Canis lupus familiaris: one gene and its partners. The protein of the gene in region 1 interacts with the protein of each later gene in a pairwise test. Links are inferred from orthologs where the notes say so. Each region holds a gene or a part of one and is shown on either strand. Other genes may lie near its edges. The genes, in order: ARL3, ARL2BP and PDE6D.

Evidence for each region.
Region 2: the proteins of ARL3 (region 1) and ARL2BP interact in binary tests that used the Homo sapiens proteins (3 or more experiments, as listed by UniProt). The link is inferred for Canis lupus familiaris from reciprocal best matches to the Homo sapiens genes ARL3 and ARL2BP.
Region 3: the proteins of ARL3 (region 1) and PDE6D interact in binary tests that used the Homo sapiens proteins (3 or more experiments, as listed by UniProt). The link is inferred for Canis lupus familiaris from reciprocal best matches to the Homo sapiens genes ARL3 and PDE6D.

Annotation. Positions count from the first base shown.
Region 1 is NC_049249.1:15,362,512-15,372,758, forward strand, and holds part of ARL3 (ADP-ribosylation factor-like protein 3), read right to left. Parts: intron 9,293-10,247; coding exon 9,149-9,292; intron 3,732-9,148; coding exon 3,615-3,731; intron 1-3,614. UniProt on the Homo sapiens protein: Small GTP-binding protein which cycles between an inactive GDP-bound and an active GTP-bound form, and the rate of cycling is regulated by guanine nucleotide exchange factors (GEF) and GTPase-activating proteins (GAP).
Region 2 is NC_049223.1:58,398,585-58,409,293, forward strand, and holds the start of ARL2BP (ADP-ribosylation factor-like protein 2-binding protein), read right to left. Parts: upstream 6,351-10,709; 5' UTR 6,235-6,350; coding exon 6,197-6,234; intron 5,823-6,196; exon of another isoform or gene 5,659-5,822; coding exon of another isoform or gene 5,627-5,658; intron 5,549-5,626; coding exon 5,487-5,548; intron 3,965-5,486; coding exon 3,858-3,964; intron 2,033-3,857; coding exon 1,947-2,032; intron 1,712-1,946; coding exon 1,615-1,711; intron 1,333-1,614; coding exon of another isoform or gene 1,282-1,332; exon of another isoform or gene 1,138-1,281; intron 1,115-1,137; coding exon 1,004-1,114; coding exon of another isoform or gene 991-1,003; 3' UTR 1-990. UniProt on the Homo sapiens protein: Together with ARL2, plays a role in the nuclear translocation, retention and transcriptional activity of STAT3. May play a role as an effector of ARL2.
Region 3 is NC_049246.1:43,814,095-43,824,992, reverse strand, and holds the start of PDE6D (retinal rod rhodopsin-sensitive cGMP 3',5'-cyclic phosphodiesterase subunit delta), read left to right. Parts: upstream 1-5,409; 5' UTR 5,410-5,468; coding exon 5,469-5,518; intron 5,519-10,898. UniProt on the Homo sapiens protein: Promotes the release of prenylated target proteins from cellular membranes. Modulates the activity of prenylated or palmitoylated Ras family members by regulating their subcellular location.

The DNA of each region.
Region 1 (10,247 bases):
TTATCTGATGTGTTTTTGCAAATATCTTCCCCAGTCTGTGGGTTTATTTTCTTAACAGTGTCTTTCTCAGAGCAGAAGTTTTAAATTCTAATGAACTGTATCTTATAAATTTTTGTTCATTTCACTTGGCCCTTTTCTAAGCACTGGGGATACAACACTTGGGGCAGGGCAGGGGAAGCAAAGTCCCTATCTTTGTGGACACTACATTCCAATGGGGAGAAGCGTAATAAATAAAAATATATTTTTTTAATGAATTTTTTAAAGATTTTATTTATTTATTCATGAGAGACACAGAGAGAAAGAGAGAAGCAGAGACACAGGGAGAGGGAGAAGCAGGCTCCATGCAGGGAGCCCGATGTGGGACTCAATCCCGGGTCTCCAGGATCACACCCTGGGCCGAAGGAGGCGCTAAACCGCTGAGCCACCCAGGCTGCCCATAAAAATATTTCTGATGGTGATGGGTACCAACAGGTCTGATCAAAGAAAAAAAAAAAAAAAAAAAAGCAGAGAAAAATTACAGTGCCAGAAAGGTAGGGATAGGAGCCACAATTTTAAATATAGCAATCAGAGAAGGTCTCAGTGGCATAAAGTGACACGTGAGCAGAGACTGAAGAAGGTAGAGAATAAGCCGTGAGGATAGCTAAGGATATCTAAGAATCTTAACACTGCAAATAGTAATGACCAAGGCCCTGAGGTGGGAATATGGCTGTGTTGTAGGGACAGAAAGCAGGCCAGTACGGCTGGCACCAAGTTAGAAGGGGGAAGACAAGACAGATAAGCCAAGCCAGAAGGCAGGGGGCCTTGTAAGCTATTGTAAGAACTCTAGCTTTATTCTGAGATGGGACAGGATCCCTATGGATATACCTTTGAGAAGAGATTTTCGGGAGGAAAGGCAAAAGCAAGGAGACTAGTGGGGATGACATGGCAATAATCAATGCACAGTAGCAGTGGGCTAGAAAGTAGTGGTCAGATTCTAAAAATATTCTGAAGGTAGAACTCACAAGATTGGCATAGGTCAGAGGTGGGGAGTGAGAAGGAAAGGAGCCAAGGATGACTCCAATGCTTTTAGATGAATGGAGCTGTTGTTTACTGAGGAGACTGTAGAAGCAGCAGGTTTTGGGAGGGATGAAGATAGGAATTTGGTTCTGGACATACTGAGGATGAAGGGACTTACTAGCCACTAAAGTAGAGATGTAAAATAGGTAGTTGGCTATATATAAAACTGAGGTTCAGGGGAGAGTTTCTGGTTGAATATAATAGGTTGGGATTCACCAGCATGTAGGTAGTAATTAACGCCTTGAAATTGGATGAGGTCACCTACGCTACAACTTAGAGAAGCAAAGAACAGGCCTGAACTCTGGAGCACTCCAACACTTGGAGGGTAACAAGGGGGGAAAATAGCAATGGAGATTGAGGAAGAGTGGCCAGTGAGATACGAGGAAAATCCAAGACAGAATGGTATTCTGGAAAATGGGAAGATAATGTTTCAATGACAGTATGACTGACTTTTATTTTATTTTTTTATTTTTATTTTTTTTTAAGATTTTATTTATTTATTCATGAGAGACACAGAAAGAGAGAGAGGCAGAGACACAGGCCAAGGGAGAAGCAGGCTCCATGCAGGGAGCCTGACGTGGGACTCGATCCTTGGACTCCAGGGTCACGCCCTGGGCCAAAGGGAGGCACTCAACCGCTGAGCCACCAAGGCATCCCTATGACTGACTTTAAAAAAATATATTTTATTTATTTATTCATGAGAGACAAAGAGAGAGGCAGAGACACAGGCGGAGGGAGAAGGCTCCATGCAGGGAGCCTGATGTGGGACTGGATCCCGGGACTCCAGGGTCACGCCCAGGGCCAAAGGCAGGTGCTCAACCACTGATCCACCCAGGGACCCCATGACTGACTTTATTAACTGTGCAGCTAGGTCAAGTAAGAGGAAGATGGAAAACCTTAGCAATGGGGAATTCCTGGGGAGCCTGAATGGAGGGTTCAAGAGAGAATGGGAGGAGGAAGTGAGGAGAGAGCTCAGAAAACTCTTTTTGTTTTAAAGAGAAACTGAGGAATAGGACAGTATCTGGATGGGATACACAGCCAGGACAAGAGTTTTTTTTTGTTTGTTTCTAAAAAAGAGTTGCCACAGGCTGTGTGCATGCCGACAGAATGATCTAGTTGAAAGACACATAGGAAGCAAAAGCAGAGAGCAAAGTTATTTGAGAGATGCAAGATGGTGTCTAGTGGTAATGGAAGTCACCAACATGGCTGACCTTATGGCAGTTCCTTCTCTATGGATAGAATTGTAGTAAATGCAGAGTTTCCATTAGGGTTTAATGAAAATAGCATACAGGTTTTTTTTACTATCCAAGTTCATGAGACCCCCTGGTTTTAGGCTATGATCATGACAGTGAGTAACTAAGGTAAGGGGAATGACAAAATCACTGGAGTGAAGGTGAATGAACTGAGAGGCTGTGGTGTTGGAGAAATCAAGTATGTGGATAGTGAAATCTTCAAGAATTCTGAAACAGCAGTACTACAGAATGTCACAGAATGTGACAGTGAGCTGAGAGTTAAGATCTTAGTCCCTTCCTGAACAAATGCAGCCTGAGCCAGGGAATCCCCAATGAACAAGACAGCTGCTTCTACTTTTTTTTTTTTTTTTAAAGATTTTATTTATTTATTCATAGAGACACATACACACACACAGAGGCAGACACAGGCAGAGGGAGAAGCAGGCTCCATGCAGGGAACCCAATATGGGACTCGATCCCAGGTCTCCAGAATCACACCCCGGGCTGCAGGCAGCGCTAAACCGCTGCACCACTGGGGCTGCCCTGCTTCTACTTTTGGACAGTTAAAACGATAGGAGACTTCTTCCTTACTCTGAGCTAAACTCTACCACTTAATATTCCCCAAATCGCTCCTCACCCAGTCTTCTAGAACTCTTCATGATGAGGCAGAGAACTCTCTTGCTCAAGATGGCTCTTGAAGCAACTGAAAATAGTTCCAAGTTTCTTTTCTAGGAAAAATATCTGGGGATATTCTCAGTTGGTTAAGTAGCTGCCTTTGGTTCGGGCCATGATCCCATGGATCCTGGATCAAGTCCCATGTTAGGCTCCTTGCTCGGTAGGGAGTCTGCTTCTCCTTCTCCCTCTGCCCCTCACTCTGCTTGTGTGCTCTCTCTCAAATAAATACAAAAATCTTTTAAAAAAAAGGGGGAAGAACATCTATTGTTCAGCCATTTCATATGCATCATTATTTCCAGGACTTCCACCCTCTTGATTGGCTCTTTGGGATACTCTTGTTGATTTCCTTGGGATAATGGAGTTAGTGGCACTATCTTCTGATTTCCCTTCTGATATTCAGATCACTATGTTAAATTAATAAATACTTTATTTTGCCAAGGTGAGTGTGGGCACAACATTGTCACTGAGCAAAAGCAAAATTCTTATACAAACCATACAAAAATGTTTCTCATAATCTGCAGCCTTCTGCTAGCCCTAAATTCATAGTGACTTATAGTAGTGGAATTACTGACAAGAAAGAACATTACAGTTAATATTTCCTAACACAATGCAGAACATATTATGAATTAGTGCATTAGAAGGAGTACTTACGAGAATATCAGTATTTTCAAAATAATTTCTCCAGTATGGTCTGATTTTTCTCTGTCCACCAATGTCCCATACATTCAGTTTAAAACCTTGAGATTGTACACTTTTGATGTTAAAACCCTGAAAGAGAGGCAAAACATGAAGCTTTATTAAGCTTTAGATCATAGTTCTGACAGTTATATTTAACAGCTGTGTTATTTATTAATTATGAGGTACTCTGCCAGATGTGATACTGGTAATATTGAAAATTGTCTGCTATGATACGGAAGAAAGAAATGGGTTTTTATAGGCTTACTTCAGGTTTGGAGTCACTGTTAATATTAACATGACAATTTCTCTAGTAAGTGTACACACATGCACGTGTGCACGCACACACACACACACAAAACTGCTGAGGACAACTTGGAATGAGTTCTAATAATCAAGATGATAACATTTAATAGAACATTACATTTAACTAACAAAAAAACAGAAGCTGAATCTGCAGATTCAACAGAACAGAACAAATCCTGAGTTTAAAAAGAGGCAAGAGCTACTGGAAGATAGGATTCTTTAAGAAATTTCTTCATATGGATCAACTCAGGAAAAAGGAGCTGAAGTTAGGACACTATGGGAGAAGCTGGTTTATAAATGGACTATTAGCCCAATGAGGAAGGGATGGCCTGCTAGAACAGCATGTTCAAACTCTGAAGTGGGGCCCTCAGTTTTTTATTTTTTTATTTTTTTTATTTTTATTTTTTTTGGGGGGCCCTCAGTTATAAGCAGTGATGAAAATAAACAAGAAGGCATTGGAAACTGTTCTTTCGTAAGCATCTCTGATGAACTTGAAAGTATTCATTTCTCAGGACAGTGACTCAAGGTGGAACTCTGGGAAAGGTGCACAAATCAGGGGCAGGTGGAGCTGGGAGTTGGTGTGCAGAGAAACAAATTAACAAGACCTCTGGGGTTTGGAGAAAAGGCATTTCGTGAGCAATAATTAAAAAAGAAATATTTTTCTGAGAATGATATAGTGAAATCAAGACTTGAAAAATCCAATCAATAGATTGCTACCACAAAAGTGACGTTTCATCCAGGATAGCTGGAGGGAAGTGGGCCTGGGGATGTCTCCATAAATATGTGCCTCACCTGGCAGCTTGCCAACACTACTGCCTAGTGCAGAAGGACAAGGCACAATGTGACAGTACAGAGCACTGCCACCCAATTTCCACTGAGGATAAATGGGCACTAGGGAATACCTGGGGATGATGCTGACTATAGCTCCTGTAAGATGTCACAACTGAATAAATTAGAAGTTTAAGAACTCCAAAGGGAAGTGGCTTAAGTTTATTGTAAACGGCAGCTTCATTCTGACTCACTGACAAAACCACTTTTGTGCGCTTAAGAATTGTACACTTAACTACAACATTAAATGTCAAAGCCAGTAATGTCAAATCTTTATGGAGTGAAGCAGAAGATAAATAAGAGTAGCTCCTAGAATTTGACTATATGTATCAACTGCCTTAAAATTCTAAAAGTCATCAAAAGAAAAGAAATCTATTAAGACCAACAAATATAAGAAATTATTCTAAGGAAATAATAATGGGTGCAAACATTTAGAAATGTAAATATGTATTTACATATATAACAGTAGAAAGATGTTCAAGATGTATTATTCAGTGAAAATGATGATATGATATATTCTTTGAGTCATTTTAATTTAATTAATTAATTAATTAATTTTTTAGTCATTTTTATTTTAAATATATGCATCATAAGGGTGCCTGGCTGGCTTAGTTGCAGCAGAGCATGCAACTCTTGATCTCAGGGTTATAAGTATGAGCCCCATGTTGGGTGTAGAGATTAATTAAAAATAAAATCTTTAAGGGACGCCTAGGTGGCTCAGTTGGTTAGGCATCCAAATCTTGGTTTTGGCTCAGGTCATCATCTCAGGATCATGAGATTCAGTTCCACGTCAGGCTCTGTGCTCAGTGCAGAGTCTGCTTGAGATTCTTTCCCCTCCCTCTCCCTCAGCCTCCACTCATATTCTCTTTCTCTAAAATAAATAAAATCTTAAATAAATGGAATCTTTAAATAAACCCATCACGTACATACATAGAAAAAAATGGATACATTCTTAAATGTTAACAGTGGTAAAAAAAATTTTTAACAGTGGTTATGTCTGGGCACTATAGGTGATTTCTAGTTTTGCAATTTTACAAATGTTTTACAAATTTACTATAATGAGCACCTATTACTTTTTCTTTTTTTTTAATTTATTTTTTATTGGTGTTCAATTTACCAACATACAGAATAACCCCCAGTGCCCGTCACCCATTCACTCTCACCCCCCCGCCCTCCTCCCCTTCTACCACCCCTAGTTCGTTTCCCAGAGTTAGCAGTCTTTACGTTGTGTCTCCCTTTCTGATATTTCCCACACATTTCTTCTCCCTTCCCTTATATTCCCTTTCACTATTATTTATATTCCCCAAATGAATGAGAACATATAATGTTTGTCCTTCTCCGACTGACTTACTTCACTCAGCTACTTTTTCTAATATAAAACAAAAATGCAAAGCTTGGTTGTTTTTTTTTTTTTTAATTTTTAAAAGATTTTATTTTATTTATTTATTTTATTTTTAAATTTTTATTTATTTATTTATTTATATTTTTTTAAATGTTTTTTTTAATTTTTATTTATTTATGATAGTCACAGAGAGAGAGAGAGAGAGAGAGAGAGAGAGTGGCAGAGACATAGGCAGAGGGAGAAGCAGGCTCCATGCACCGGGAGCCCGATGTGGGATTCGATCCTGGGTCTCCAGGATCGCGCCCTGGGCCAAAGGCAGGCGCCAAACCGCTGCGCCACCCAGGGATCCCGAATTTTTATTTATTTATGATAGTCACACACAGAGAGAGAGAGGCAGAGACATAGGCAGAGGGTAAAGCAGGCTCCATGCACTGGGAGCCCGACGTGGGATTTGATCCCAGGTCTCCAGGATCGCGCCCTGGGCCAAAGGCAGGCGCCAAACTGCTGTGCCACCCAGGGATCCCTAAAAGATTTTATTTTAAAATAATCTCTACACCCAATGTGGGGGTCAAACTTAACAACCCTGAGATCAAGAGTCACATGTTCTTCTGATTAAGTCAGCCAGGCACCCTGAAAGCTTGTTTTTTTTTTTTAAAGATTTTATTTATTTATTTATTCATGAGAGACACACAGAGAGAGAGAGACACACAGGCAGAGGGAGAAGCAGGCTCCATGCAGGGAGCCTGACACGGGACTCGATCCCGGGTCTCCAGGATCACACCCTGGGCTGAAGGCGGTGCTGAGCCACCTGGGCTGCCCTGAAAGCTTGTTTTTAAAGAGTAAGTATGGGGGTACCTGGGTGGCTCAGTGAATTAAGCACATAACTCTTGATCCCAGCTCAGGTCTTGATCTCAGGGCTGTGAGTTTAAGCCCCACGTTGAGCTCCACACCCAGTTACTTAAAAATAACCAAAAAAGGGGGGCACCTGGGTGGCTCAGTTGGTTAAGCTTTGGACTTTTGATTTTGGCTCGGGTCATGATCTCAGGGTCATGAGATCCAGCCTCCTATTTGACTCTGCACTTAGTTGGGAGTCTGAGATTCTCTCACTCTGCCCACCCCCCCACCCCGGTTCATGTACATGCATGTTTTCTCTCTCTTTCAAATAAAGAAATTTTATTTTATTTTATTTTATTTATTTTTTAAATATTTTATTTATTTATTCATGAGAGACAGAGAGAAAGAGGCAGAGACAGGCAGAGGGAGAAGCAGGCTCCAGGCAGGGAGCCCAACGCGGGACTCAATCCCAGGTCTCCAGGATCACGCTCTGAGCTGAAGGCAGGCGCCAAACCGCTAAACCACCCAGGGATTCCCACAAATAAAGAAATTTAAAATAAAATAAACATGAAACCTTCACATCATATAATGACAAAGTCACCTATAATACATCAAATAACGCCTGAAAGTTAGAATTGGAACTTTGAACCCATAACTTAAGAGTTCATTTCCATGTTCACAGTGCTGGCCGTTCTCATTTTAGTGATACTCTTAAGAGATACAGCCTACTGCTAATACTCAATTAAAAAGAAAAAAAATCCTAGACTTTTCTTTTTCTGGCAGAAATCCTGACACAGTAATATGTGTTTTTAGCCCTTCTAGGCTAGACTACTGTAATTTGCTCCTCCTTAGGCTATACATTAAATTTGTTCAGAAGCTGTAAAATTGCTCATTTGGTAGCAATTGAAATGACTTTTCTGCAAAAAGTTGCAGATCAGTAAGACTCCCAAGCTGTGAAGTACACACACCAGCACAGCCATTCAAACCTGACACCAAACTCGTATCACAGTACAGTGATGGAAAATGCTAAAAAAAACCCTCTGGTTTTGCTAAAACCTCTAATGCTCAAATACTTTAAAGTGACTAAGACCAAAAAGGCTGTCCTCTAGTTAGGAAACCCAATGAGTTGGGCAAAGGTCAAGCTTTCTCAGGATTTCCTACAGGGAAGGAGGTCTAAAGAAAGAGGTCTAAAGGAGGAGGGTTGTTCCACTTAGGATCTGTCTTTCAACTTCCACACTGGCAGCACCACCGTTGCCTTATCCTTTGTATTTTTTTTGCTTAGCCTTAGGAAAGAGGCTGGATTAAAAAATATAGGTTATTTTTTAATGAAAAAAAGATATATATTTATTAAATCTGAAAAATACACCCTAAAATATTAACAGTAGTTTTTCTCACGGTATTGGGTTTTTTTCTTTTATACTTTCTGTATTTTCTACACATATTAATTTCATGGTGAGAAGATTAAGTTATTTTTTAGAAGTAATCACTTAGAGCTGAGGGAATTGACTGTCTTGATATATACATATGCTTATTTAAATTCTTTATTTAAAAATTGGTAAAATAGATATAATATCTACCATTTTGACCAGTGTAGAAGTGTAGAATTTAAGTGTAGAATTCAGTAGTACTAAGTGCATTCACACTGTTGTGCCACCATTACCACCAGCCATCCACAGAACCTTTTTCAACTTACAACACTGACCCTCTGCACCCATTAAACAATGACCCTTCCAATCTCCCCTGTCTCCAACACCTGGTAACCACAATTCTATTTTCTGTCTGAATGAATCTGACTACTCTAAGAACCTTATATCTATGGAATCTCTTGACATATTTTTGAAATCTTTTATTATTTTTAAATTGTATAACTTTTCTCATTAACACTTTTTTTAAAAAAAGATTTTATTTGAGAGAGAGAGAGAGAGAGAGAGAGAGCGCGAGCATACAAGCAGGGCAGAGGGGCAGAGGGAGAGGGAGAAACAGGCTCCCCATGAGCAGGGAGCCCGCCGTGGGACTCGATCCCAGGATCCCGGGATCACGACCTGAGTCAGAGGCAGACACTCAACCAATGGAGCCACCCAGGTGCCCCTCATAACACAACTTGAGAGTGTACAAAACCATATTTCCCATTTTGTCTTCCATATGGCTATGATCACTTCCCATAAGTCACACAAGCACCTGGGGCCAGGGCAGTGCTTACCTGTGTAGGTGTAATGTGGCTGATGTCTTCAGATGCAAGCTGCTTCAGAAGAGTGGTCTTGCCAGCATTATCCAAGCCCAGGAGAAGGATTCTCACCTCCTGGTCTGGTGCACTTTTCAATTTGCGCAAAATTGAGAGCAAGCCCTTAAACAACCATGAAGAAGAGAGATTACTTTTGGGGCACTGACTTTGATGTTATTAGGTATAAGAATATCTTCTCCTTGACAACAGTTCTTGGTTGTAGAGAGGTCATAGTATATTCCAGTTCAATGTCATTTATTTCATTTGCTTCCACCTTCTAAGTTTTGGCAGAAGTACTTCAATAAATTCAGCAACTCAATAAATGACATGGCTTATTTCCATTCCTATTAATCCAGTTTAGCAGTCACTCCACATCTTCTGTGAGTATGAACTACTACTCAACTCATGTTCCTAAAGCCCTTCATATACACTTAGAGCATGCATCATATCAGACTATAGATAATTGATTTTTGTGTTTCTCTCCTAGAGTGAAGTTTCTTGCAGGTAAGAGTTATAGCTTTGGTCTCCCACAATGCCTGGCACTTATTAGTTGTTGAATTAAATACAACTACCCACCCAAGCAAGTACAAGATTTTATGGTGCTACACACACACACACACACACACGAAAAAAAAGTTGTATAAAATTAAGACTTTATTTCAGTTTACATTTAAGACTTCATCACTCAAAATACTCTATCATCATCTAAAAAAACTCCAAAACTCTATCACCATCTAATTTTCACAAGACCCTTATAAGTGCATGGTATAACTTATGTTTTTCAGATGAAGAATCGGATACATCAGAGAAGTTAGAGAATTGTCAAAGTCAGTCATAAAGAATAAAATTTAACCAGGTATTTCTGACTAGTAATATAATATTTGTTTCTTGCTTTTATTGTTTTTAATGGCTAGAAATAAGCCATATTGCTTTTTAGCTACAAACATAAGAAAAATTGTATAAGATAGTTATTTGTTGCATCCTGCAGCTGACAATTTTGTTCCAATGAGGCATGAGTTACAACAAGAATCAAAGAATTCCACAGTTTAAAGGGCATATAATCTAATCTCCCAGCTCA
Region 2 (10,709 bases), on another chromosome or scaffold:
ACTACAGAGACCCTACCCCCAACAGAATACCTAACAAAATGATTTATATGGAAAGGGATTTCAGAAACCTGTACAAACACTTAACATGCTGTAAGAAAGGGAGACCTTTTAGCCTACTTCCAGCATAAGCACACACTCGTTGGCGCCCAGTAAACCAGGCACGCCAACAAAGAAAGCCTTTTTGCTTTCATAGCACTAACAGCTAAAAAGCACACAGCATATAATACTTTGATCTTTAAGTGGGTAATCATGGAGGCTCCAAGATTATATCCACTAGGTTAGCCTGAGTATTTACCTATAAAAATATTTTTCTAAAAAATGCTTAAGAGGATTCTAGAAACAGACTACATCAAGGACTAGCAGAAGACAGTGATGCAAGGACTGCGAAGTGAAAGACAAGAAACTGATTTTCACATGGAGCTTCAGGTACAGGACTGAATCCTCAGCTGATTCCTAGAGCCGAGGCTAGCTGGGATGTGGCAGGGAGCTCAGCCAGGCGGCTGGCTTGATTAACAGCCTAGGGAAATGTTCCCCAACAGGAAGAACCCCCTTTTGAGGCTGCAGGTCTGATGAAACGATGCATACAGAAGGCTGTGAGCACACAAGAGCCTGATGGACATGCAGAGCCTGCTGAGCCAAAGTGGGCCGGAGAGGATGGGTTCTTCCAAATGCTTCTGACCTACCAGCATGTATATCAGGGAAAGAGGCCCCGGTGTGATGCCCGCCTTGGGCTTGCTCCAGAAGGGCCTGACGCAGAGGCCTGAGGCAGGGGGTCTGCTCGGGGAGGAGTGGTAGGATTACCGAACACGAGAAGGTGCTTCAGGGTCTCTGTAGGGTCAGTGGATTGTCTTCTGACCCATCAATACTTAACATTAATGAGTTGTAAAACAGAGTCAGTCTTTCCAATGGGTATTGTCACATTAGCCAGAGCCTCTTCCAGTCTATTGGGCTGGCAACGTCCAGAAAGATCCCATTGCCTGGTGGTGGGACCTAGGGCCGCAGGTCATTCTGGGAAGCTGGCACAGAAGATGATTTGCACAATGAAGTCACCACTAAACCACTGCTTAAGTCCAGTCCCCGACCTTCTTTTTCCTGGGTTAGAAAAGAAATAATCCTAAGAGGCAAGGAATAGGGGAAAAATAAAAGTCCTTTTCTAGGTCAGAATTCTGCCTCTGGCATGGGGGAGGAGGTGCTCAGGCTGAGAGGGTGGCCACAGAGGAGCACACAGGAGGGGGAAGGAGGTTATTTTGCATTCTGGTTCAGCGCTGCCCCAGTCATTCTTTAAAAAGTGTCACCTCTTTTCACAGAAATAGATTTTTTCCTATGAAGAGCCTGCATTAGAAGAGAGGCAAGGTAATTAGACCTGCTTTTCAGTTTTGTCCTTTTGATTATTTATGGTCTGTAAGAGGTACCTGGGACTTGTTACAACAAAACACGACAATATAGTCCCTCAGTAAGGGTGCTGGGTCCTGCTTGGAGGACAGTAGCTTGCTCTTCTGACACCTGGTTAGCTGCCAGACTGATAGCCAGCCAGTGGTGGGGAGAAACCAAGTTTCTACTTGACATTTCCTTAGTGCTTTGATGTGGCTAACAAAGTGAGCAAGAGTGACTTACTGCTCTGTAGTCCAGAAACATTTCTTTAAAAGCCAGGAAATCTGTAAACGTGAGCAGCATGTCAAATATGTCGCCTGCCACTTCATCTTTATGGTGCCTGTGGAGGAAAAGGATGGCCTTTTCACAACAGGCTAAAACAGACTCTGTCTCTTCAAGATCCCACTAGAGGGTTGTGAGGGCCTCCCACCCAGGACCCAACCACTGAGTGCTGCCACCGTTCATGTTCATGCACTGGAGCAAAAATAAAAAAAATTAAAAAGAGGGCCTTTTTTTCAGAGTGAAGGAGGAGGAAGGTGAAAAAAGATACAAGTGCAGAGTTAAGCGCAACTCACTGTAAAGTTGTTGTGAAAGCCGCCATGTTAAACCCAGGAATCCGCTCCAGCAGCTGTTCTTCAATATACTTTTCTACCAAAGAAATCTGCAACAGTGGAAGGGATCGTGGTTTTAGGAAAACAAGGCTGCTTTTCAGAGAAGTCTGGGCTCTAGGCCTTTGCAAACACTTCCTAAGAGCCTATTCTATGTGCCAGGCTCCATGGTGAGCGCTGGGGAAACTAAAGAACCCAAATAGGGCGCTTGTCCTCACTGAGCACGTGCCCTGGCTCACATGGGGAAGGGGAAGGTGCTGAGATAGGTGGAGGCAGCGGACACCAGGGCTCCCAACTCCCCGTGGTAGGAAGTGAGTAATGAAGTAAATGGAGCCTTTTTCCTTGGGCAGATGGAATCTATTAAAAAAGAACGGACAGGGGTGCCTGAGTGGCTCAGTGGCTGAGCGTCTGCCTTTGGCTCAGGTCGTGATCCTCGGTTTTTGGGTTCCTGGGATGGAGTTCCGCATCAGGCTCCCTGTGGGGAGCCTGCTTCTCCCTCTGCCTGTGTCTCTGCCTCTCTCATGAATAAATAAAAAGGGATCCCTGGGTGGCGCAGCGGTTTGGCGCCTGCCTTTGGCCCAGGGCGCGATCCTGGAGGCCCGGGATCGAATCCCACGTCGGGCTCCCGGTGCATGGAGCCTGCTTCTCCCTCTGCCTGTGTCTCTGCCTCTCTCTCTCTCTCTCTGTGACTATCATGAATAAATAAATAAAATCTTTAAAAAAAAAAAAAAAAGATCTTTAAAAAAAAAGGGGGGGGGGGGGCAAAGAGGCATACTGCTGGAGGTAATCACAGGTTCTATATATGTTGAGGCTTGGCTGGAGGAAACCATCCAGGATGTCATGCTTCTAAGGCTAAGAAAATCCCGGAGACTCAACCTTTGCTCAGACAGAGGATATCGTACCAAGAGGGTAACTCCAGGCCTCAGCAAGGGTCCAGAGTTGAGACTCCTGGGTTCTGGTCGTGGTCTCCCCACCAACTGATTAATGATCTTGGTCTTGGTTTTCACTTCCACCTAACAGTCATGCCATGTCTGACTGGATGTGTTGTAGCAAAAAACACAGTTGATGCTTAATAGAGAGGGTCTGAACTGTGTGTCTCCACACAGACATGGGTTTTTTGTCTTTGTTTTATAAATATAATACAGTACTTTAACTGTAATTTCTCTTTATGATTTTAGTAACATTTTCTTTTCTCCAGTTTCCTTTAATACAGTATAGAATACCTATACAAAATACGTGTTTATCAACAATTTGTTATTGGTAAGGCTTCCAGTCAACAGGCTACAAGTAGTTATGTTTTTGAGAAGTCAGAAAGTTATATGGGGATTTTTGACCACAGGGGCATCGGCACCCCAAGTCCCCATAGTGTTTAAGGGTCAGCTGTAGTGTGTGTCCCAAGTCCAAAGGTCAAAAGCATATCAATGCAAGGTACAGTGAACCCATATGTTCTAACTGAAGACAGGAGTATGATCAAGCCAAACTTCTTTTTTAAAGTAAGTTGGATGGGGCAGCCCTGGTGGCGCAGCGGTTTAGCGCCACCTGCAGCCCAGGGCGTGATCCTGGAGACCCGGAGTCCTGTGTCGGGCTCCCTGCATGGAGCCTGCTTCTCCCTGTGCCTGTGTCTCTGCCTCTCTCCCCGTGTCTCTCATAAGTAAATAAATAAAATCTAAAAAAACAAAAAAAACAAAAAACAAGTTGGATGAAAGCCACCAAATGCTGCGGAGGAAAAGCAACAGATGAGAACTAAACCGGATTCTAAACAATTCCTGACAGGTGGCAGCTTCTCAAAGTCCAGCATATGTCAACATCTTTTGGTTTTCAACTCACATTTTAAAGAACTCCTACTAATCTCAGGGGGAGGGAAACAAAACCACTTACATATTCATTAAAAATAGGCGTGTAGGTGAGTTTATTCTCTTCTGTGTCTTCAAACTCCTGATAGTACTTGTCCATGAAATTCCTCTGTAGTAACTGGAACTCGTCATCTGAACCACAGTAAGAAAATGTTACGCTTTTTATTGGAAACTAAAAACCATTCTGATTTATAAACAGGCAGGAATTCTCTGCCAGCACAAGTGCTTTCTCAATGGCCAGGATCTAGGAGAGGGAAAGCTAAAGATGCTTTAAGGAAGTGTTCAATAGGATACCAGTGTTCAAAAAGCCCGATCCAGTCTTTTTATTAATAATAAGTATTAGTATTTTTAAAAATGTGGTAACATATACCTCACAAAAAATTCACCATTTTAACTATTTTTGAGTGTGGTTTGGTGGCATTAAGTACATCCCCATTGTTATGCAACCATGACCACCATTCTTTGGTCCATTTTAAAGACACCCAATTCAGGGTGGCTTGGGAGCTCCTTCACATGCCTTTTCCACAAAGGAATGGGTTCTCTTATAATATGATTTCAGCAGCTGTAACAGTGCAGTGATTAAGCACATGGGCTCTGATCCTAGCTCAGCCACTTGAATTGTGTGACCTTGGCACACTTCCTAGTATCTCTAAGCCCCAGTTTTGTCGACTAGAAAATGAGGATGATCAAAGTACCTATCATAAAGGATTGCCAAGTGGAATTCAGATAAGGACTAGCATAGAGATTAGTTTATAGCAAACACTTGAATGTGAGAGAACAGGGAACGTTAGCAAGTGAAGAGAATATTACTTCTGAAAGTAAAAGGAAAGCTTCACAAATGACCCAGACTTTAGGATAAATACCCTGAGCTTAAAAAAGGGTCCTTTTCCCATGGCACAGGGTGCCCAAAAGGGCAAAAGAACTCAGAAGTATTCCTTGGGATTCTCCCAGAAACCGTCAGAGTCACAGAGGACAAGGGCTTACTGGTGAAATATTTAAAGTGTGAACCTTTTTGGGACCTGAAAATATAAAAGCTTGGGTCAGTCATTTTCAGACTAAACTAGACTGAGAAACACTGCTAGGACCACTAAACTAACGCAGTCCTTTTTTGCCTAATTTGAAGAAAACTCTGAATTTTCTCAAAGTTTTTCTCCCCCACGTATTTGTCTTAAACCTTGGGTGCCTGTCACTGCTTATTAGCAGGCCTGTGTGCACCCAAGTTAATGCACAAAGCAAGCCTCAGAACCCAGGAAAATACAGAACCAGAACCAGCTGAACTATGGCGCTTTATTTTCTTCATGGACATGTGTGCTATGACTATGGTATTGGGCTGTGGTTTATGTGATGAAAACGTTAAAGCTCAAAACTGAAAAATGGAATTCCTCTTACTCTGAAATAAGGTAGGCTGTGCCAAGAGCTTCCTAACGTCTAGGGCCCCATCCCCTCCGTAAATCCCTTCTAGGACCTAAATCCATGGTTACTGTTGAAGCAGTGGGGGATGTTTGCCTCAAAAATCACAGCAAGGCTCCATATTACTCTGTGCTACGTTGAAACTGATTCGCAGCTTGCTGTTTTCTCTCAAAATGAACTCCAAACTGCAAGGGGGTAAGAACTACAGAGGGCACAGGTTAGACCGCGGCTCAAGGAAGCTTACCCATGATGATGTCCTCTAAATATCCAACCACAGCGTCGAATTCTGCATCAGAGGCAGAAGAGCTGAAAAATATATACCGCCATTAGGTGCTGTTTCAAAGAATCCGCTTAAAAAATATATCAAGGACATTTTAAACATGCCTAAAAAAGAAACCGCAAAACGAACTTCCCATCACCCAGCTTCAACCACTAAGAATGATGATCGTCTAAGGGAGCGATTCCAAACAGGGCGATACGTTTGACACGTTGGTGACATCGAAGCTCAATGAATGTCTCCACTTTCGGAAAACCTGTCCTGACACGAGGAACTACGACAGGGGCAGGTAAAGGGAGCGACGGCCCGCCCGCCCCCCGGGTGTCGCCATCAGCGCACACCGAGCGGCCTGCGAGCGCGGGCCCGGCGCCAGCGACACACTGGCGGAGGGCGACAGGCCCGGGAGTCCCCGAGGTGGTGGCGGGTCCTCCGCCCCGTGCTCGGCCTCGGCAGCTCAAGGCCGCCGGGCTCTGCTGACGACGGAGGGTCGGAGCTTCACCACCGTCGCTCTCTCCCCTCCCCCCCCCCCCCCGCGGCCTCCAGGCCTCAGCAGGGAGGCCGCTGCAGCCGCGCGGTCGGCGGCGGCCCCTCACCCCGCTCCCGGCCCTCCCGGACACCCCCACTGCACGGGGCGGAGGCCCGGGCGAGCGCCGGCAGCGCCGGGCGGCGTCACTCACAACGACAGCGCGAAGCTCTCTTCCTCTAGGGCGTCCATCGCCGCCGCCGCCGCCGCCGCATCCACCCGCGGGGCGAGCGCGCCCGTCGGCCTTACCCCGCCCGCGGCCCGGGCCCAGCCTCCGCTCTGCTCCGTAGAGCCCCAGCCCGCATCCGGGAGGCCTCGCCGCCGACGCCGCGGCCGCTCACGGCCCGGGCCTCAGGCCTCAGGCTCCCCGGCGGCGGCCACGAGCCGCCCGGGCCCCCGCGCCCGGCCAGGCCTCTCGGCGCCCGCCGCACTCGCCGCGGGGTCCGGGCGTCAGTTACCCACAGCCCGGCGCCGCGCCCCGCCTCCCGTCACCATGGCCACCACAACCGCTTCCGCCGCCTCGCGCTTCCCGAGAGCCAATCACAGGCGCGCGCTGCCCGACGCCGGGGGCGGGGCAAAGTGGGGAGCGGAAGTGAGGAAACGGAGAGAGGCGCGGGGGGCAGGCCTTGAGCCTCAGCGGCCGCCTGTTCCCGGAGCGTCCTCTGGGTTGGTGGCGGTTAACTCTCGCGTCGTCCCCTCTTAACGAGGAAGGAATGGAAGCTGAGGACCGCAGTTTCGCTTGCAACTTGGGGATAAATTACAGGATTTAAGAAGATTAAATAGGGGGCGCCTGGGAGGCTCAGTGGCCTAGGGTGGGACTCTGGATTTCCGCCCAGGCCGTGTTCCCGGGATGGAGACCCAGGCCTGCGTGCGCTCCGCGCTCAGCGTGGCGTCCGCCGGAGATTCTCTCTCCATCTCCCGCCGCCCTAACGCCGGCCCCCCGTGCTTGCTCGCTCTCTAAATCTTTTAAAAAGATTAAAGTGGGTTGTAAGAGCACTGTAAACTGCAGATTTCTTGAGTGCCAATCCCTTAGCTTTTGAATCTAATAATGCAGACCTCTTACAAGACAGTTGCAACCTTTTGTGGAATTTACATCATAAAGATAATATTCATATCATAAACATTATTCGGCAAGCAGTTATTAGTTTCTTGGCTAATTAGGCGCAATAAAAGTTGACAATCACTGAACCAATGTAATCAGAAATGGGATAATTGTGTTCCAGGAAAACTCCCCTCCCAAACTCAAATTTTGCAAAAGGATTCCCGAGAGCTGATTTCTCTTTGTTTATTAAAGATTTTATTCACGAGAGACGCAGAAGCATAGACAGGTAGAGGGAGAAGCAGGCTCTCTGAGGGGAGCCTGAGGCAGGACTCGACCCCGGACCCCAGGATCACGACCTGAGCCAAAGGCAAACCCTCGGCCCCTGAGCCACCCAGGTGCCTGGAGCTGATTTCTCAGGATTGGACCATGAGGCCTTATGTGTCTTTGGTTGTGTTATACCCTTGGGCCAAATGTGTGGTACGTGTCTGCAGTGAAGGTTTGATCTGAGGGTCAAGATGGCCAGCCTGAGTGAATTGACATTTTGAATGGACATGAAATAGATCTCAGTGAGGGGTACCTGGGTGGCTCAATGGGTTTGGTATCCCACTGTGGTTTTGGCTCAGATGGTGATCTCCAGGCCATGGGATTGAGCCCTCCCCCACCAAACAAGAGTCTACTTGTCCCTCTCTCTCCCCTTCTGCCCCTCCCTCGCTCACTCATGCTTGCTGTCTCACTCTCTCAAATAACATTTATTTTTTAAAGATTTAATTTATTCATTCATGAGAGACACATAGAGAGAGGCAGAGACACAGGCAGAGGGAGGAGCAGGCTCCATGCAGGGAGCCCGACGTGGGACTTGATCCCGGGTCTCCAGGATCACGCCCGCTGAGCCACCAGGACTGCCCTCTCAAATAACATTTTAAAAAATAGTTAACAGTGGAATCTGGGGGCAGCCCGGGTGGCTCAGCGGTTTAGTGCCGCCTTCAGCCCAGGGCGTGATCCTGGAGACCCGGGATCAAGTCCCACTTCGGGCTCCCTGCATGGAGCCTGCTCCTCCCTCTTGCTCTTTCTTGCTCCTGTCTCTTGCTCTGTGTCTCTCATGAATAAATAAAATCTTAAAAAACAAACAGTGGGATCTGGAACTAAAAATGGTTACCAAGAGAGTTGTATCCAGAGTGAATGAGATCAGATCTCAGAGCTATTATATTTAGCACCAAATAGAAGACAGGTATCTATAAAGGTTTGCTGATTAACTAGACTGAGTTATATTTAAGGCAAGTGATGGTTTTGCAGCTCAAAGCAAACTCAGCATTTCCTCATGACCTATTTTCTCTATAAACCACTTATTTCTTCTGGACTAAATGAACGTGCTCACCATTTTTCTACTTCTGAATCATATGCAATCAGAGTGGAGTAGGAAATGATTTCAGCTGTTCTGGATATCTATTGCTATTACAAACTACCCAAAAATTTAGTGACAACACAACAATTATTGTGCTTAGCAATCTGCAATTTGGGCAGGACTTGGTAGTGACAGTCTCTGTTCTACTTGGCATCAGTTGGGGCAGCTGGAATGGGGCTAGAGGAGCCTCTTCCAGCATGCTCACTCACATGTCTGGCAAATCATTGTTGGCTCTTGCCTGGGAGCTCAGCTGTGGATGTTGGTCAGAGGACTACTGGTTGGCAGGGAGTGGGGGGGGGGGGTGTCTTCAGTTTCTCTCCATTTAAGTCTTCCCAGAGATGGTTGAGTTTTCTCACACCATGGTGGCTGGGTCCAAAAACAAATATTTCAAGAGACAGGAATTGGAAATTGCCAGCCACTTAGGGACTGGAAACTGGCACAGTGTCACTTCCACTGACTTCTATTAGTCAAATAGACATGAAGTCCATCCAGATTTTAGGAGAGGGGGCTTAAACTTCATCTGTAGATGGGAAAGATGTCAAAGAATTTGTGGCTAATTCCACTTTACCATTTCTGAGTTTTGTCTTGTTTTAAGATTTTATTTATTTGAGAGACAGAGCACAAACGGGGGAAGGGCTGAGGCAGAGGGAGAGGGACAAGCAGACTCTTTGCTGAGCAGGGAGCCCAACATGGGGCTGGATCCCAGGATCCTGAGACCATGACCTTAGCCAAAATCAGCCGCTTAACCGATGGAGCCACCCAGGTGCCCTACCATGTCTGGCTTGAAGAACAAATGGGCACAAAGATAATAATAGGTACCCATTTACTCAGGCATGTGCCAGTTACTGTGCTAAGCATATATTTATATACATGGTCTCTTTTTGAAATACTTGAAACTCTATGAGAAAAAAAAGAAACAACTCCTAAAGTTATTATCTTATAGATTAAGAAACAAAGGCTTAGAAGTACTTGCAAATGGGTGATAAGTGGCATCATTGAGCTGGAACTGGGTCCAGGCTTACTCCCAAGGTATGTTTAACTGTCATGCTATATATGGCTCCAATCCCTGAGCTGTCAAACAATACTCCTAGAAATCAGAACATGTTTTTCTGCTAAAACAGAATGGTGGCCTTTAAAGAAAAAATTTAAGACTCACTTGAATATATTATGTTTTACATTAATAATTTCTTTTTTTTAAAAGATTTTATTTATCTATTCATGAGAGACATAGAGGCAGAGACAGACAGAGGGACAAGCAGGCCTCTCACAGGGAGCCCAATGTGGGACTCAATCTCTGGACCCAGGATCATGCCCTGAGCCGAAGGCAGACGCTCAACCACTGAGCCATCCAAGCGTCCCAATAGTCATTTCTTAAATCCTTTGTGGGTAAGCATTAAAAAAAATTTTAAGGGATGCCTGGGTGGCTCAGTGGTTGAGTGGCTGCCTTTGGCTCAGGGCCTGAACCTGGATTCCCAGGATTGGGTTCCACGTTGGGCTCCTTGCCTGGAGCTTGCTTCTCCTTCCTCTGTGTCTCTACCTCTCTTTCTGTGTCTCTCATGAATAAATAAAATCTTAAAAAAAAAAAACAATTTAAGACTTATTTTGGGGGGTAGAGAATCGAGCAGACTCCCAGGTGAGGGAGTAGCCAGGTAGGGGGCTTGATCCCACAACCAATGAGATTATGATCTGGCCTGGGTGGTTCAGTTGGTGAACTACCCAACTCTTGATTTTGGCTCAGGTCATGATCTCAGGGTCCTGAGATGGAGCACCCCTGTCAAGCTCCACGCTCAGTGCAGAGTTTGCTTGTCCCTTTCCCTCTGCTCCTCTCCCTCTTCGTACTCTTGACACTATTTCTCTCTCAAATAAAATATTAAAAACAATTGTTTTAAGTGAATGAATAAAAAATGGACTATCTGGGCAGCCTGGGTGGCTCAGCAGTTTAGCGCCGCCTTCAGCCCAGGGTCTGATCCCGGAATCCCAGGATCGAGTCCCACGTCAGGCTCCCTGCATGGAGCCTGCTTCTCCCTCTGCCTGTGTCTCTGCCTCTCTCTGTCATGAATAAATAAATAAAATCTTAAAAAAAAAAAAAGACTATCTTGGAAAGAGCTGAACAGTTTCCTGGATTCAAGATATCTGAAATTCATGCAAAAGTCATTTTCTGCAAATGAAATTTTGATTTGATTGAATCCTTGTTTTCTGGTGTGCAAAAGGCACCATAACTTT
Region 3 (10,898 bases), on another chromosome or scaffold:
TGCCCTTGCGGCTCCCCCGGAAGCCTCCCGCCGCTGCACTCGAGTTCCGCCCACACTAGGTTCCCCCCACGGCGTTGGCAGCCTCAGACCTCCAGTGCGGCCTGGGCCTGGGAGAGACCTCCGAGGTCGAAGCCCGGGAACCGGGTGGAGAGGAGCCTGAGGAGGCGAATGCAATCCAGGCAGAGCTGGGGCCTGGCCATCAACATCAACCTGCGGCGCCCGAAATTCACCCCTTCGGCCAAGCTTTACCCCTCAGGAGCTGCCTACGGCGGCTGCGGCTCCCCCGGATGCAAAGACATAATAAGTGTAATAACGACCGCTTATTGAGCGTTTTCCCATGTGCCAGGTGTGTACATTGTCTCGTTGAATAAACTCTAAGCTTAAAAATCCAAAAACCAGTAAGTGGCAAAGTCGGCTTGGGACCCCGGGCTCTGGGAAGCTAAAGACCATATTCATGATCTCTGTTCAGAAAAACGTTTTAAAATAAGATGGAAAAAATAAAAATAATTAAAATAATAAAATAATAAATAAAATAAAATAAAATAAAATAAAATAAAATAAAATAAAATAAAATAAGCAAGATGAGCAGCCCGGGTGGCTCAGCAGTTTAGGGCCTGATCCTGGAGACCCGGGATCCAGTCTCATGTCAGGCTCCCTGCATGGAACCTGCTTCTCCCTCTGCCTGTGTCTCTGCCTGTGTGTGTGTGTGTGTGTGTGTGTGTGTGTGTGTGTGTGTCATGAATAAATAAATAAATAAAATCTTTTAAAAAAATAAAAAATAAAATAAGCAAGAGATGGGCTGAGCCAACAATGGCTCTGTGAGCAAAATGACATATGTGAGGTTGCATCTAGTACTTAGCAACTTTCCTGGAAGATGGCTAAGAAATGCTACACAGCTGAACACTTAAGCTGGTTCCTTTAAAGTATACATCACAGACTTTCCGGTCTTAAAGACAAGGAAAATAGCCCTATTTGCCTTTGGTGAATTAGAGTGCAGAAATCAGACAGATGCAAAGGAGCCTAGCACCAACCCACTGATTTATGCAAAAATGTCTTGTTCTAATTTCTATGTTCTGGTAGATTATATAAAGAGAAGACAAGGTTCTTGCCCTCAAAAAGCTTCAGTGTGGGGGCGCCTGGCTGGGTCAGTTGGTAGAGCATGCAACTCTCAATCACCAGTCCTGAGTTCAAACCCCATGTTGCGCAAGAAGCTTACTTTAAAAAAAAGAAGAAGAAGAAGAAGAAGAAGAAGAAGAAGAAGAAGAAGAAGAAGAAGAAGAAGAAGAAGAAGAAGAAGAAGAAGAGAAAAGCTTCAATATGTTAAGTGCTATGAGAAAGATATGACAATACTTTAGAAGCATAGAAGAGAGTATGTTGGGGAAAAGAAAACAGGCATCTTCCAGGCAAAAAGGGAAGAAAAGGTGGCTGACCATAGTCACAGAGGCTTGCCCTGTGTAGCATATACTAATGCAGAAAAGAAACCCAGAGTGTCTGGAATACAAGGCTCAGGTTTGAGAAATGAGGGCTACAGACCTGGAGTCAGGTCATCAAGGGTGCTATAAACCACACGCACGGCACTATACGCAGTAAATATCTTAATACTGCAGAGTCCCTACCTGGGATTAGCCCACAGCCCTGGAGAGAGACAAACCTGTCTGGCTATAACAGCCAGTTGCCATAGGCACCCTAGAACTACAGATTAAGGCTCTTCTCCTGCCTGTGCTCTGGAGAAAGGTGATTTAAAGCAGGGTTCTGGAGACGAGGCTTGAGTTGAACATGGAAGAATGAGCAAGCAAATCACAAAAAGTATAAGCCATGTAAAGGAGTTATTATTTTATCTTGAGGGTGCTGGGGGGTGGCAGAACTTAGGGCTTTTAACCTGTGGAGAAGTGTGAATAATTGCCACTTTAGAATGCTCACACTAGCTGCTATAAGAATGGATTGGATATGGAGAGAGCTGGAAGCAGGGAAACTCTTGAGGTGATTGATATAGTACAGAAAAGAGATTGTGAGATCCTGAACAAAGACAGTGGCAGTTGGGCATGAAACAGAAGGGACGTGGTGGGAGGCATTTAGACTATGGAATGTGTCCGATGTGCTGACCAGCTGAATGCAGGGATAGGGAAGAAGGGTATCACCCAAGACTCTGGCTATTCACTCAGAGGTGATGTTTCTAAGTAAATGGGGCTGCAGAGGAAAAAAAGCAAATTTGCGGTAATAGGAAGATAATTAAGTTCTGTTTGAGTTCATAAATATTCTAGCAGTACTTCCACTTCTTCCAGAATAATGTCCAGACTCCAGGGCTGCAGAGAAATCCCTTCTCAGTATGCTTCCCTCCAACCTTTCCAGCTTTGGCTCGTCCCACCCTCTTACAGCCAAAACCCTAGGCCTTCCTATGCCCAACACAACCTCCACCTTCCCTCTCTGACACCAGGGCCTATGCTCAAGCTTGCTCTCCATCCTTTTTTGCAATGCTCTTCCCTCCTATTTTTGCCTGTTAAAATCCTACCAACCCTGTAGGCAGAGATTTCTTAAACTCAATGCACAAAAGCACTAATCATAAAAGAAAACACTGAGCTACTACACTACATTATAATTTAGAATTTCTGATTATCAAATGACACCAATGCGAGACTGAAGAGGCAAGCCACAGAGCTGGAAAAGATATTCCTGAAGCCTGTATCAAAGAACTCCATATCCAAACTTCATAAAGAACTACAAATCAGTATGAATAAGTAGACAAAAAGCCCAATTTAAAAAGTAGGGAAAAGACTTGAACAAGCACTTTACAAAAGAAAACACTGAAATAATTAAAAATCATATGAAAAGTGCTCAACATCAGAGACAATGCAAGAAAAGACTGTAATAAGATACCACATTTATAGCCAAAAGAGCTAAAGTTAGAAAGACCTCTAAGACCCTGGTTGGTTTTTTTTTTAAGATTTTATTTATTTATTCATGAGAGACAGAGAGAAAGAGAGGCAGAGACAGGCAGAGGGAGAAGCAGGCTTCATGCAGGAAGCCTGACTGGGACTCAATCCTAGGTCTCCAGGATCATGCCCTGGGCTGAAGGCGGTGCTAAACCACTGAGCCACCCGGGCTGCCCAAAGAACCTGTTTTGACAAGGATAAGAGTCAACTAGAATTTTCTTACGTTGCAGGTGAAAGGGAAAATGATACAAACACTTTGGAAAACTGACATACTGTTGCTGATCATATGCATACTGTACAAGCCAGCCATTCCTCTCCTAGAAATAAGTGCAGTCTACAAAAAGAAACCTATAAGAATGCGCATTGCAGCTTTAACAAAAGCCAAAAACTGTTAACTGATAACATAAATACCCATCAATAGAACAGATAAATATTGCTAGATACACACAATAGAATACTAGTCAGTAATTAAAAAAAAAAAAAGCTGCTACATACAACATGGATGAATCTCACAAAAAAAAAAAAAAAAAAAACACACAACTGATGAAGAAAAAAAGCCAGGCTCCTACTGTACATACTGTATGATTACATTTAAATGAAATTCACAACAAAACTGATTTATGGTAATAGAAGTCAGAATAGTTATCGGGATGGGAGGATGCAGTGCTGATTGGGAAGGGGCACAGGGGTGCCAGAAATGTTCTATATTTTGATTTGGGGGGTGGTGACACAGATGTATACAAATGTCAAAACTGTGCCCTTCCTGCATGTCATACCTCATGAACAAAAAAATTTTAAGATAAAGTTTTTTTAACAGGAAAAAAAAAAATCCACCCATCGTTCAAATTCAAATGCCACCTCCTCCATCAAGTTTTGCCAGCTGGATCTGATCTTTCCATCAGAACCTCTGTAGCATTCTGATGACCTTTCCTTTATGACATTTATTGCAGTTCATCTTGAATCTCAGCAGAGTCTCCTTTTTTTCCTAACTAGATGGTTATCTTCCTGGAGGCAGTGACAATGCCTTTTCACCCTTTACCGGAAACCTGAAAAGGCTCTTTGTTGAATTACATGGAAGGAAAAATTGGGTGGGTGCCCAGATGGGTGAAAGGGGGACGGGAAGAGGAAGGAAGGCCTCGGAAAAGAGATAGGAGATGTCCAAGGAAACCTTAGCTTACGCTACAATTTTACCTAGTTCCTGAAATCACATTAAATGTCACCTTGAGCAACAAATAACAAATCAAAACACTAAGTCCTTCCTAGACTGAAGATAAACAAACATCACACTCCTTCACTTACAGGAAATCCACCAAAATGAATGCTTACCTAACCTCTGGGTGTTTCAACCTGGATGAGGATACTTCACTAAGGAAAATAATAATCACACAGCCATGCTGCTAAAAATATCGCCACCTCAGTGTGGTGTAAACAGCCCAAACTGAGGGTCAGGAGACTTAGAGCCGAATTCTAACTCTGTCCCAAGTTGCTGTAACCAGTGGACGATCGCTTCGCCTCTCTGGGGCCTCAGTTTCCTCGTATGTAAAACAACAGAGGGTGGTTTGGCAAATTCTCTTAATATCCCTTCCGGTAGGGAGAGTCTGAGTATACGATCCATATCTCTCCCAGCCCAACGCAGGAGCACACCAGAAACCCCTGCAAAACAAGTAAAAGGCGCCCCAGACCAACAAACAAGCACGATTTAAAGGAGTCATTTTATCTTCCGTGGTTTAATCAAGTGTTTTTGTTTGTTGTTTGCAGCCTTACCATGATTTGCAGGAGATTTCTGAGTTCCATGTAAACAGATGTTACCTCCCTGTGGGCTGTCATCCTCTTCTGAGAGTTAAGGGGGTCTTCCCGCCCAGTTTCAAGTCTCCGAATTCAGAAACCCCCAAGGCTGAGGGAAGGTTTACGAATTTGCGCACACTGCGCGGCACACTGGAGTCTAAGTTACAGAGGAACAGGGTGCAGGGAATGCTGGGATTTGTAGTCCCCGGGCCTCTTTGTTGCGTGATGGGATCTGTGGTTCCCCCGGGCACTCCCCCGGAATGCTGGGAAATGTAGTCTCTCTCACATCGCACAGGGCAACCCGCCGTCATTTCAGCGCCCTAGTGTGCCCCGCGGAGGGAGCGGGCCCCTCGAGCCTCTGCAGATCTGAAGCCAACCCTCCGCTGGGGCAAACTCTAGGCAACAAGACCTAAAGAAAAATTTGTCCTACGGGACTTCCCGGGGAGGGCCCTTCCCACTGACGCTCGTCGTCCCCCGGCGAAGCCGCTGAATGTTTCTATTGGCTGCTCGGGATGCCAATCGGCGAGGAGGGCTTTCCATTGGCTTTGGGGCGGGCGCTCCGAGGCTAGGGGGAAGGAGAAGGGATCAGGAGCGGGAGCTGAGGGGAGGGAGAGGCCGGTCCGGGTCTGGCCGCTGCCGCTGCTCGCTGGAGGTCTCCAGGCCGCGCTGCGGCTCCGTCCTCGGTTCCTGGGCACCGTCTGCGAGGCTCCGCCGGGCCAGCGTGGGAGAGCCGCGGGCGGCGGCCGCCGCATCATGTCAGCCAAGGACGAGAGGGCCAGGGAGATCCTGAAGGGCTTCAAACTGTATCCGCCCGGGAGTGGGGCGGGGCGGGGCCGGGAGGACTTGGGGGGCGGCCGCTGGCGGAGGAGACGGGCCGGGGGCGGGGGCCGCGCCTGCTGGGCTCGGGACGGGAGCGCGGCGGGAGGGGACGGAGGGGACCGAGGGAACGGCGTCCCGGTCCCCCCGGCGGGACCGGGTACTGGAGGCGGGGCAGGGGGCGTCCTGAGGGAGGAAGGAGACGTTGCCGGGAGCCGGGGGCTGGAGTGGAGGAGCCCCTGTCCGAATTGGGCTGGGAGACGCGGCGGGCGTCGGAAACGCGTGGCGGTGAGGCCGGCTTGGGTCCGAGCCTCGGCCCGCGCCCGGAGGCCAGAAGGGGGGCTGCGGCCCGCAGGGAGGGCCGAGGGGCGCGGGGGGCTGGCCTCGCAGCCCTGCAGCCCGTTTGGCGGGAAGGCCCCGGGGGAGCAGGGAAAAGTGACTCGGAGCGAGTGACCTTGGGTGGGACAAATGCAAATGCTTGTGCTGAACTCTCCCGGGTTCCCCCGTCCCCCCCTCTACGCCACCCCCTCCTTGTTTCCACAACTTCTCTGCCTCACTTGTGGCTCCTTCCAGGGCTGGAGCAGAGAGGAAGGTGGGCCAAGAGAAGCCCGGGATCCACCTCATCTTAACACTCTCTTGGCCTTGTGAGGCACTGGATGGTGGCAGCTTCTCTCTCAGCCTTTCACTTTTCTGTCCAGCGAAGTGAGGACCCTGCACTCGAGCGTGAGATGCCTTGAGGTGTTTTGGTTTTGCACCGGGACTCCTGGCAAAGGTATCTGCGCGCTTGCGTTTGTGAGGTTCACGCGGAGACCAGGTGGAGCTGTCCAGCAATTATTTGATTACTTTGGGGACACGGTAGGATTTAGCAGGATCTAGAAATCATTGCCCCAGGCCTGGCCTGTTGTGGTGCCGCTTGTGCAACCTTCTTTCTCTCTTTAACGTATTAGGAAGCCTCGTGTTTAAATGGAGTGTCTGTCTGTGACCATAGGATGCGGATGAAAAATAGGCAAACCTGGACATTCCAATTTCACATTTTCCTGCTGAGCTTAAATCTCTTTTTACATCCCGTGCGTACAAAATGGAACGTTCTCAAATTCTTCTCTCCGTGAAGTTGTAGTCATCACTTTAGGTCTCCCCCCACCCCCCCAAAGGAGATTTAGTGAAGCACTGTTCTCTGAGCTGCCTTTGTGTTTTCACGATGCCCATTTCACCGCTGGAAATTTTAATTGCTTTTCACAGTCAGAAAGCAAGTTGGTAGTAAATTTTAGAACCCAAAATGCAACAACAACAACAACAACAAAAAAGTTACAGGACATTTTAGATATACAAATGAAAAGTTTCAAATGGAAGCTGATCTGCTATGCTTCTTTTGAAAAAAAACGGAAGGCATTATACACTAGGCATAAGGTCATTCGTGGTAAAGTTTAGTAAAAGCCTCTTTTTATAGCTTCGTGTACCTTTCGGTGTCTTTTTTCATAATGGCACCTATAAGTAAATAGGGATGGCTGAAGTCTTAGAAAAGCTGTGACATGGATTTTATTTTTCCCCTAAGTAATTTGTATTGTTAGTTACATGTATACTGTAGATAGTAAAATCAGAGACTGGGGAATTGAGAGATTTCAGAAGCAACGTTTTTGGTCCAATTGGAATTAACATACTGCTGAAAACAAGAAAGAATCTTTTTAATGGTTTTCAAACAAAGAAACTTCTTACCTCAGTCTGGGCTCTTGAAGCTGTTGAGAAAGAGGTTAAGGGACACATGTGGAAAAGAGTAGAAATCATCATCAGGTGAATTAACCAGTTCAATGATGACGTTAGTGTATTAAGAAACAGGCTTTCAGAGAAGGTTTGACCTGAGCTGATTAAATCTCAAGGGAAGCAGCCGCATAAAAAAGTTAGCATGGGAGCAAGAGGATGCTCATCCTCTGGTAGCCTTTATTGACATCTGAGGATTAAGAGAGAAAGGAAAGGAGTTCTAGAATTTGCTACTACCTTCAGGAAAACACAATCTTTTAGTAAAACAAACTGCTTATTGTCCACCTTTTTTATTGGGTGAATTGTTTTTCTGAACTTTCATTGAATCTGTTTCTGTAAGAGTTTTTTTCTACCAAAAGAAAGCACCATTAGAGTCTCCTACCAGCGATGTTGACAGTGCTCAGTTCCACATTGACTCTGTCTTTTATATTTTTGCCAATTTAGACAAGTGATACCTTATTTTAATTTGTATTTCCCTGGATATCTAGATCCCTGGACAGGTAATAGAGCATAGTGGTTAAGAAGAATTCTGGACTGTAGAGCTGTTCTGTGTTGGAATCCCAGCCCTACACTCTTGGTTGTCCCTGAGCAACTCATTTAACCTCAGCCTCAATTTCCTCATCTGTAAATGGGGTTAAAAATAGTACTTATCTCATAGGGTTGTTACGAAGATTGAATGAGTTGATAGCTGAAGCATTTAGAAAAGCACCTGATGCCTAGTAAACATTATATATTAGCTCTTATTATTGTTAGAGAAGTTGCAAAATCTTCTGTTTGGCAGTTCCTTTTCTGTGAATCACTTGTTGATTTTGTTTTTTGCCCATTTTACTATTGAATTTTTTACTTACTGGTTTGTGTGTGTGCCTTAATATCATTTGCCTGTTCTGTATGTTGCAAATATTTTCCATCAATATATTGTTCATCTCCTTTTTAGTTGAACAAATTTTATTTATTTATTTATTTATTTATTTATTTATTTATTTATTTATTTTTAAGGATGTTATATTGAGAGAGAGCATGAGCATGAGGGAAGGCCAGAGGGAGAGGGACTTCATCCCAGGACTCTGAAGACAGATGCTTAACTGACTGAGTCACCCAGGCCACCCTGTTGAACAAATTTTAAATTATCATTTCAAATTCATCAGCATTTTCCATATGGCTTCTGCATTTTGTGTCTTAAAGATTTATTTCTTTTTTTGAGAGAGAGAGGGCACATGGGCATGCACATTCTCCACACACACATGGAATCAGGTGGAGGGGCAGAGAGAGAGAGGGAGAGGGAGAGAATCTCAAGCAGACTGGCTGATGCAAAGCACAAGATGGAGCTCAGTACCACCTTGAGATCATGACCTTAGCCAAAATCAAGAGTCCCCGATGCTAAAGCAACTGAGCCACCCAGGTACTCCTGTATTTTGTGTCTTAAGAAGACCTTCCTGACCTTGGGCAAGTCACTCAACTCCCTTTCCATCCATTTCTTTAATATTCAAATGGATAAAAATCATAGTATCTACTACATAGGTTTGCAATACAGATTAAATGAATTGTTATAACTAAATAAAACTAGACCTTCCTTATCCTAAAATTAAATATTCTATGTTTTCATTTCCACCTGAAATGTTTTTACACAAATGATATGTGGTAGAAATCTAACTTCTTGTGCTGTTTTAAAATGGTATTTGGGGCAGCCCTGGTGGCTTAACTGTTTAGCGCTGCCTTCAGCCCAAGGCGTGATCCTGGAGACTGGAGATCCAGTCCCACATCAGGCTCCTTGCATGGGGCCTGCTTCCCCCTCTGCCTGTGTCTGTGCGCCCCACCCCCCCCCCCGCCCATCTCTCTCCCCATCTCTAATAAATACATAAAATCTTTTTAAAAATAAAATAAAATGGTATTTATTTTTTCTGTTACATACTCTAGCCACCCAGAAATGACCTTTAAAAAGTCTTATTTATTCATGAGAGACACAGAGAGAGAGGCAGAGACACAGGCAGAGGGAGAAGCAGGCTCCATGCAGGGAGCCCGATGTGGGACTCAATCCCGAAACTCCGAGATCACGCACTGAGCTGAAGGCAAATGCTTAACCACTGAGCCACCCAGGCGTCCCACCTTTTTGATTTTTTTTAATGTAGTCTTCCAGTGTAGCTAATGTATTTGCTTTTATAAAAATTAAATCATAAGCATTATTTCTTAACTTATTTTTTCACTTAATAATAAGTTTACCATATTCATAATTTCCAAAGATAATTACTTTTCATTGCTTTCCATGACATAGATTTGTCACAGTCCTCTTACACAGTGTTCTAGTGTAGTCTGTATAATGCACTGTTTTGCCTATTCAAACTGCTCTTCCTCACCACAAATATAGTTGACGCTTGAACAAAACTGGTTTACATACAGGTCCACTGACAAGAATTTTTTCAGTAACTACAGTATAGAGTATGGTTTTACAGTATTGTAAATATGTTTTCTCTCATGATTTTCTTAATAACATTTTTCTTCCAACTTATTTTATTGTAAGAATCTGGTACATAGGGCAGCCCGGGTGGCTCAGCAGTTTAGCACAGCCTTCAGCCCAGGGTGTGATCTTGGAGACCCGGGATGGAGTCCCACATCGGGCTCCTTGCATGGGGCCTGCTTCTCCCTCTGCCTGTGTCTCTGCGTCTCTCTCTCTCTCTCTCTCTCTCTCATGAATAAATAGGTAAAATCTTTAAAAAAAAAAAAAGAATATGGTACATAATACATATATAAAATACAGGTTAATTGACTTTATATTAGTAAGTCTAGTCATCAATGGGTTATTAGTAAATAAGTTTTGGAGAAGTAAAAAATTAGACATTGATTTTCAACTGTGAGAATAGTTTTAATATATACATATTTATAGCTATATACAGCTTTATTAATATCAAGAAACTGCAGGCTACCATAAGAAAAACTATGCTTTTATAATTTTATTATTTTACTCCATCTGGGATTTGCTTGAGTCTAAGGTATGAAGTAGTGATTTAACTTTTTCTCTGATGATTAGCTAATTGCCCCTATTTACTTATACTGCAGAAGTTAATATAATATCTAGAAAATAAATGACTGCCTACAGGGGCCCCTGACTGGCTCAGTTGGTAGAACATGTGGCTCTTAATCTCAGGGTTGTGAGTTCGAGCCCCATGTTGAGTGTAGAGATTTCTTAAAATCTTTAAGGAGCGCCTGGATGACTTAGTCAGTTAAGCATCAACTCTTGATTTTGGCTCAGGTCTTGATCTCAGAGTCATGAGATAAAGCTCCATGTCTGCTTAAGATTCTGCCTGCCCTGCCTCTCTCTCTCTCTCTCTCTCTCTCTCTCAAATAAATAAGTAAAACCTTTTAAAAATAAAAATAGGGATCCCTGGGTGGCGCAGCGGTTTGGCACCTGCCTTTGGCCCAGGGCACGATCTTGGAGACCCGGGATCGAATCCCACGTCGGGCTCTCAGTGCATGAAGCCTGCTTCTCCCTCTGCCTATGTCTCTGCCTCTCTCTCTCTCTCTCTCTCTCTCTCTTTCTGTGACTATCATAAATAAATAAAAATTTAAAATAAATAAATAAATAAAAATAAAAATAAATGACTGCCTACAAATCCATAA